Linked DNA regions of Sus scrofa. The protein of the gene in region 2 purifies or fractionates together with the protein of the main gene of each other region. This does not show direct contact. Links are inferred from orthologs where the notes say so. Each region holds a gene or a part of one and is shown on either strand. Other genes may lie near its edges. The genes, in order: ISG15 and HERC5.

Evidence for each region.
Region 1: the proteins of HERC5 (region 2) and ISG15 purify together in Homo sapiens (affinity purification with western blotting; 3 studies listed by BioGRID, with this or other methods). This does not show direct contact. The link is inferred for Sus scrofa from reciprocal best matches to the Homo sapiens genes HERC5 and ISG15.

Annotation. Positions count from the first base shown.
Region 1 is NC_010448.4:63,361,750-63,365,025, reverse strand, and holds ISG15 (ubiquitin-like protein ISG15), read right to left. Parts: upstream 1,826-3,276; 5' UTR 1,750-1,825; coding exon 1,747-1,749; intron 1,345-1,746; coding exon 844-1,344; 3' UTR 815-843; downstream 1-814. Other genes in the region: uncharacterized protein LOC110261384, read left to right, coding at 1-263.
Region 2 is NC_010450.4:130,580,972-130,584,786, reverse strand, and holds part of HERC5 (E3 ISG15--protein ligase HERC5), read left to right. Parts: intron 1-612; coding exon 613-834; intron 835-1,958; coding exon 1,959-2,050; intron 2,051-2,303; coding exon 2,304-2,434; intron 2,435-3,815.

The DNA.
Region 1 (3,276 bases), on a different chromosome or scaffold from region 2:
TCCGCCCAGACCCTGGTGGAGGGATTCAAAAGAGGAGGGTGGCGCTGAGGGTGTGTGCTCACACTAAGTTACGGTATGACACAGAGGTGGGGGTGGAGGTGCAGGAAGTGAGGCTGGAGCCAGGAGCACCCCCGCCGATGCACCCTCACCTGCATATCTACACATATATCTGTCACAGGCAGGTCTGCTCCCCCTCCCCCACTCAGCTGTGGACCCCCACAGACCAGGAAGGAGGCTTCTGGGTCTTCAGCCAAATGCCCTGAAGAGCCCGAAAGCAGAGGTCCTCAGAGCCATGCCCAGAGAGGTCCACGTCCTGTGCTCCTGCCTCCCCCATGTCCAGGGCTGACTCAGCCTGGCTCCTGTGGGGCTCACGGGGGAGGCTGGCTTCCCTCACAGCTCACCCAGACAGGCCACAGGGGCTCATGCCCCCACTGCTTCCAGGGGCACTCACCTGGCCAGGCCTTCTCCTCCCTGTGCTATCTGCTGACCCAGATGTGGGGCTGCAGAGCTGACCACGGCACAGCAGGAAGACAAGGATGGGCTCTAGCGGCTGTGCCTCTTTTTATTTCTCTAGAAGGTAATTTCCCAAAGATGTGGGGACACATCTTCGATTTCTCTGGTGTGTGTGGGGCACCATTTTGATCCCACAAGGCTTGTCCCTTAACTTGGCAACTCTAGTCTGGTGACCACCCAGCAACCTCTGGGTCCCCTCATCCCACTCCCTCCTCCATCTCACCTCCTGTCTCACCAAAATGGGTGCAGAATGGAGGACTGACACCGAGATGGTGCTGGCCAGAGAAGAATGGACGCTTTGTTACACTCAATTTTGCCACAGCTTTATTACTAGCACTCGGTGAGGTGCTCCCCTGGCCCTGTCCCGCCCCCCCGCAGGCGCAGATTCATATACACGGTGCACATAGGCTTGAGGTCATACTCCCCCAGCTGGTGCTCATCCTCCATGGGCTTCCCCTCGAAAGTCAGCCAGAACTGGTCAGCTTGCACGCCCTCCTGCTGACACACCTGCTGCTTGAGCTCAGCCACTGTCTGCGTCAGCCAGACCTCATAGGCGTTGCTGCGACCCTTGTCGTTCCTCACCAGGATGCTCAGTGGGTCTCTGAAGCTTTGCACCATCAACAGGACTGTGCTGCCTGGGCCCAGGCCCTGGTTGACCAGGGGCACCCCATCCTGAAGCACATTGCCGGCTGGGTGAGCCAGACGCTGCTGGAAGGCGGGCACACCGATCTCCCGGGCGATCTGCTGCTTCAGGTCCGATGCCATCATGCAGTCCCTCAAGGGCACCAGGATCTCCTTGCCTCCCAGCATCTTCACCTTCAGTTCCCTACCCTGTGGGCGTCACACAGGCTCAGAGACCCTGTCACCAGTCCCAGGGCCACCACATAGTGGGGCAAAAGCTCCTAGAGCCCAGGAGTGCTGCTCCCTCCTCCCTACCCTCCCCACCCTCCAGGAGGGGGACCCCGGGCACTGGAGAGGGCAAGGGGGCATTTCTAGAATGGCCACCACCCACAACCATCATGTCACCTCCCTTCACCAGCTAAGATGCCTCCCTGTGCCGACCCCAAGGGATCTCAGCCCTCTGAGGACACAGACCCTGACGTCAGGAGGAGCCCCATCCCTCCCCTCATGCTTAGGAACCTGGCGGGCCCTGAGCAGCTCTGTCTGCCTGGTACACATAGGTGTTCTGCCCCTGGGAGAGGCCACCTGCCCCACCTGTCAAACCCCCCTCACCATGGCCGTGGGCTTTGGCGACAGGTCCTCTGTGAGCTCTGCTTCGCTGCCTCTGTGCGCTCTGCGTCGCTGCCGCTCAGCTCGCCGCTGCTCTTCAGCCGTGGCGGCTCAGCCCTTTAAAAAGCCTGAGCAGCCGCGTCAGAGGGCGGAGTCCAGGAGCCAACCACCGCGGGAGCCGAAATCGAAATCGGCTTCAGTTTCGGTTTCCTTTTCCCAAGGCAGGCTCCGGAGTGCATGGCAGGAAAAAACAAATAGCAATGACAGGACATTGAGGAAGGGGGTACAGAGTCTCTCCAGCTGCCAGCCAGGCACACGACAGCATCCCCGCCTCCAGAGGTACGTGTTCAGAAACCCCCGGCACGCCCAGTGCCTCACATCCTTTTCACGATGCACAAATAGCATCATAATACCGAGAGCTAACAATTGGCAACTTTCACTTTCCATTTACCAGTTTGCAAAATTAGGAACCTTGGAAATCATTGCCGGGGTTAATTCAGAAATAGCAAAACATAGTGACAGTCCAACCAAGCCAGAGATAACAACCATTGGTTTATGACAATATTTATTCAGGTTTTTTATTCAGATTTTTTAAATGAAAGAGATGTGTCTTTTATTTTCCATGAAAATGAACTCACGAATACTATTGGCAAGGTAAAAAAACTATCTACAAAATGGGAGAAAATATTTGCAAGTCATGTGTCAGTTAAGGGCCTAGTATCCATAATACATAAGGAACGTTTACAACTCAACAACAAAAAGATAAACAACTCATTTAAAAGTTGGGCAAAAGACTTCACAGACAGTTTAAAATAGAAAATACGTAAATGGCCAACAACCACATGAAAAGATGCTCAACATCACTGGCCATCAAGGAAATGCACATCAAAACCACAGCGAGATACCATGTCACACCCACTAGCATGACAATAATAATAACAACGATTAAAAAGAGAACAGTAACAAGTGCTGGTGAAGGTGTGGAGACATTGGAATCCTCATACATTGCTGATGGGAATGAGAAGTGGTGCAGCCACTGTGGAAAACAGTCTAGTCAATCCTCAAAATGTTAAACAGAATTTTCATGTGATTCAGCAATTGCATTTCTGGGCACAGGCCCTAGAGACCCGAAGACAGGTGTTCAAACAAATGCTTGCACAGAAATGTTAACAGCAACTCCGTTCACAGTAGAGGAGTCATAGAAATGGGGTGGGGGGAGGAACCAAATCCATCAGCAGGTGGAGGCCTCACCAAAGTATGGCCCATCCTGGAGTTCCCGTCGTGGTGCAGTGGTTAACGAATCCGACTAGGAACCATGAGGTTGCGGGTTCGGTCCCTGCCCTTGCTCAGTGGGTTAACGATCCAGCGTTGCTGTGAGCTGTGGTGTAGGTTGCAAACGTGGCTCGGATCCTGTGTTGCTGTGGCTCTGGCCTAGGCCGGTCGACTAGCCTGGGAACCTCCATGTGCCGCGAGAGCGGCCAGAGAAATGGCAAAAAGACAAAAAAAAAAAAAAACCAAAAAAACAAAAACAAA
Region 2 (3,815 bases):
GTGGTGTAGGTTGCAGATGCGGCTCGGATCCCGCATTGCTGTGGCTCTGGCGTAGGCCGGTGGCTACAGCTCCAATTCAACCCCTAGCCTGGGAACCCCCATATGCCACGGGAGCGGCCCAAGAAATAGCAAACAACAACAACAAAAAGACAAAAAAAAAAAAAAAAAGATGTGGCTTAAACAGCAGATGTTCTGGAGGCAGAAGCCCAGTTCACAGTTCTAGCAGATTCGGTGTCTAGTGGGGGCTGGTCTTGTTAGAGGTGGAGACGCCAAGCGAGCTCTCTGCGGTCCCTTGCGGTCCCTTTCCAAAGGGCGTTGCCCCCAGTCACGGAGCTCCGAGGTCCCGAGCTCATCTCGTCCCCCTGCAGGGGGGGTTAGTTAGGTCTTCGACCTGGCATTTTCCGGGGAGGAGACACAGACGTGGGAGGTGAGGGAGTGTAAGCGTTGCTGCCCAAGAGGGACGTGCTTGTCGTTGCTGGGACTGCGGCGTGAGATCTCGGTGTGGCAGGAGGGACTTTCGAGACGGTGTCGTCTGGGAGGCGGACAGGGTGCGGGGGGCTGGCTGCTGCCTTTTAAACCCACTAAGACGGCCTTTGCTCTCCTCACGTCCAGGTGGTGAGCTTTTTGCGTGGGGAGAGAACCTGCACGGCCAGCTGGGCGTCGGAAGGGGGATCGCCTCGACCCCCACACCCCAGATGGTGGAGCATCTCTATGGGGTCCCCTTGGCTCAGGTCTCTGCCGGCGGAGCCCACAGCGTGGCCTTGTCCATGTCCGGAAACGTTTACTCCTGGGGAGGAAATGATTTTGGACAGCTGGGCCTGGGCCACACTGACGGTACGGACGCGCGCTTTCCTCCTCGTGTCGTTGCCACGTGTGTCTGTGACTTGAACCCAGGCCTCCCTGTCAAAAATGGCTCACAGCCCCGCTTTGACTCGCACTGTTCTCGGGCTTCAGGGCACACTTGGGCTAAAGGACCTGCCCCGTGTGGCGGTCAGGCTGTCACTGAGACAGGTGTCAGAGCCGAGTGGGAAAAAAAGGGGACACAGCCCTCACCTGGGGACCTCGGCACCCCTGGGCTGTGATTCCCACTTTGGGGGTAACTCGCTGCCCGGCCTCCCCGGGTCGCTTCCCTTTTCTCCAGGTCTTACTTGCTTTCTGGGAAGTGACGCGTTTGGGTGAAATGACTTTCCAGGTCCCCGTGCACTGACCTGTCTATTCATACTTAGGACTGTCGTGTGACAGAAGGCTACTCACATTCTGTGTAGGGAGTCCCCTAGTCTCATCTCACTCGATAAGGTATACTGACATCTGTACACTCGCTCAGGTAACACACCCTATTGAGCTCCTGCTGCAAAGCAGGCGGCAGTATTTCTGATGACCCCAAGCCCCTTGTTAGAGATGGCAGGTGGGGCAAACTCCACGGCTTCATCAGCTGTGATAATATTACACGCCCCCCCACCCCGGGCTGGGGCTCAGACCACAGGCCCAGGGCTCCCTCGTCAGGAGAGCACATCAGTCAGTGCTGGAAAAATACTCGGAGGAGAAAAAGGAATCGGGCCATTTAAACTCACTTTAGCTGAACTCTAAGCACTTGGGCAAGAAAATAATCATGAACTCGGGAAGCGGGGGCGTGAGGCCAGGACACCGTGGTGGAGAATTGGAAAGAAAGAACGTGTCCATTAGGAGGGCCCTTCTGGGCGGGCACTGGAGTTAGCAGATGGGCTGCAATTGAAGCTAATCCAGCCGGGCTAAAAAGAGACCACCGGGCTCGGGGGAGAGGCTTGACATCTCCACCTCCATGTTGAGTCTGGCGTGGGCTGATGGACAGCTCCTGTTGTCCACGTCCTGGGAGCGCCTGTGCTGGGCTTCGCCGAAGTGGTTTGGGTATTTCCTCTGGAGCTCCAGGTGGGATTCTGCCTCGCCTTCTGGGCCCTTGAACTCTTCTCTCCCTGGCGTAGATGCAGATTTTCCTTCCCGTATCGAAGCACTGGACGGTCAGCACGTTGAATTTCTCGCTTGCGGAGCCTCTCACACGGCCCTGCTCACAAAGGTGCGTGCGCCTTTGTCTCTCCCACGGCAGCACCTGAAGACCTGCCCCCGTCACGGTGGGAAAGCACTCGAATGTGGAGGTGGGGACACTTCCGGGGGGGAAGGTCAGCGCTTCCCACGTGCGGGATGGTCCTGCTAACGGCGGGGCTTTGCTTTGACGGTGGTTTTTATTAATTACCCACTGATGCGTGGGTATCCGGGGATATTCTGTATTGTATTTCTCTGGCATCTGATACGAAGTTCTCTTGCTCTAGGGTGGGCTGGTGTTGACTTTTGGTGATGGAAGATGTGGGCAGCTCGGACACAATTCAACACAGAATGAGTTAAGACCCCGTTTGGTGACTGAGCTTGTTGGGAAGAGAGTGACCCAGATGGCGTGTGGAAGGTAGGTTGTAAAGTGACAGCGCACGTTGATAAAATAGATACCGTGAATTTAGAGAGCTAGCTGAATAAAATTTCCGTCTGTTTCTTAGATTGAGATGAAATTTCAAATACTTTCAGATGGGTGCAGATGCTTAATTTACATTATTAAATAATCATAATAAATCTGTATTTTGGTATCCATATTTGCTTTCATTAATTTTTTTTATTTTTTTTTAATTTAAAAAAATTTTTTTTTATTTTTTTTGTCTTTTGTCTTTTTGTTGTTGTTGTTGTTTCTATTTCTTGGGCCGCTCCCTCGGCATATGGAGGTTCCCAGGCTAGGGGTCCAATCGGAGCTGTAGCCACTGGCCTTCGCCAGAGCCACAGCAACGCGGGATCCGAGCCGCGTCTGCAACCTACACCACAGCTCACGGCAACGCCGGATAGTTAACCCACCGAGCAAGGGCAGGGACCGAACCCGCAACCTCATGGTTCCTAGTCGGATTCGTTAACCACTGCGCCACGACGGGAACTCCCATTAATTTTTTTTAAATGAGCAGGTACATTCACTTTTTTTTTCTTTTCTTTTTTGCTTTTTAGGGCTCTATCCGCAGCATATGGAGGGTCCCAGGCTTGGGGTCCAATTGGAGCTGTAGCCGCCAGCCTACACCGCAGCCACAGCAACGCAGGATCCGAACCGCATCTGCGACCTACACCACAGCTCACGGCAATCCCGGATCCCTTAACCCGCTGAGCGAGGCCAGGGATCGAACCTGCATCTTCATGGTTCCTAGTCAGATGCGTTTCCTCTGCGCCACCATGGGTACACCTGTATTCACTTTCTGTTGCTCCCGTAGTGGAAAACCTTTGTAACTGTTCGAATGTGCTCTCATCTTTAAGAAAAATACCTTATCATATATTGGGGGAAAAGTAAACAAACATGAGTTAGAAGGGGTTATTCACTGATATAATCATCCTTTCTCACAAACTTCTCAGGGGTCAGCATACTTCGTTGCCAGTAAGTCTTTCAGAGTGACCACCCTGTAAGACAGTCTTTGCTGATTGGTATAGAATATTCTGAGAAATTTGATTTCTACAGATTTTTCCATCAAAAGTAAAGTAACTCAAACTCCTTGATTTACTATACTGTTTTCTTTCTTTTTTTTTTTTTTTTTTTTTGTCTGTTGTTGTTGTTGTTGTTGTTGCCATTTCTTGGGCCGCTCCCGCGGCATATGGAGGTTCCCAGGCTAGGGGTTGAATCGGAGCTGGAGCCACCGGCCTTCGCCAGAGCCACAGCAACGCGGGATCCGAGCCGCGTCTGCGACCTACACCACAGCTCACGGCAACGCCGGATCGTTAACCCACTGAGCAAGGCCAGGGATTGAACCCGCAACCTCATGGTT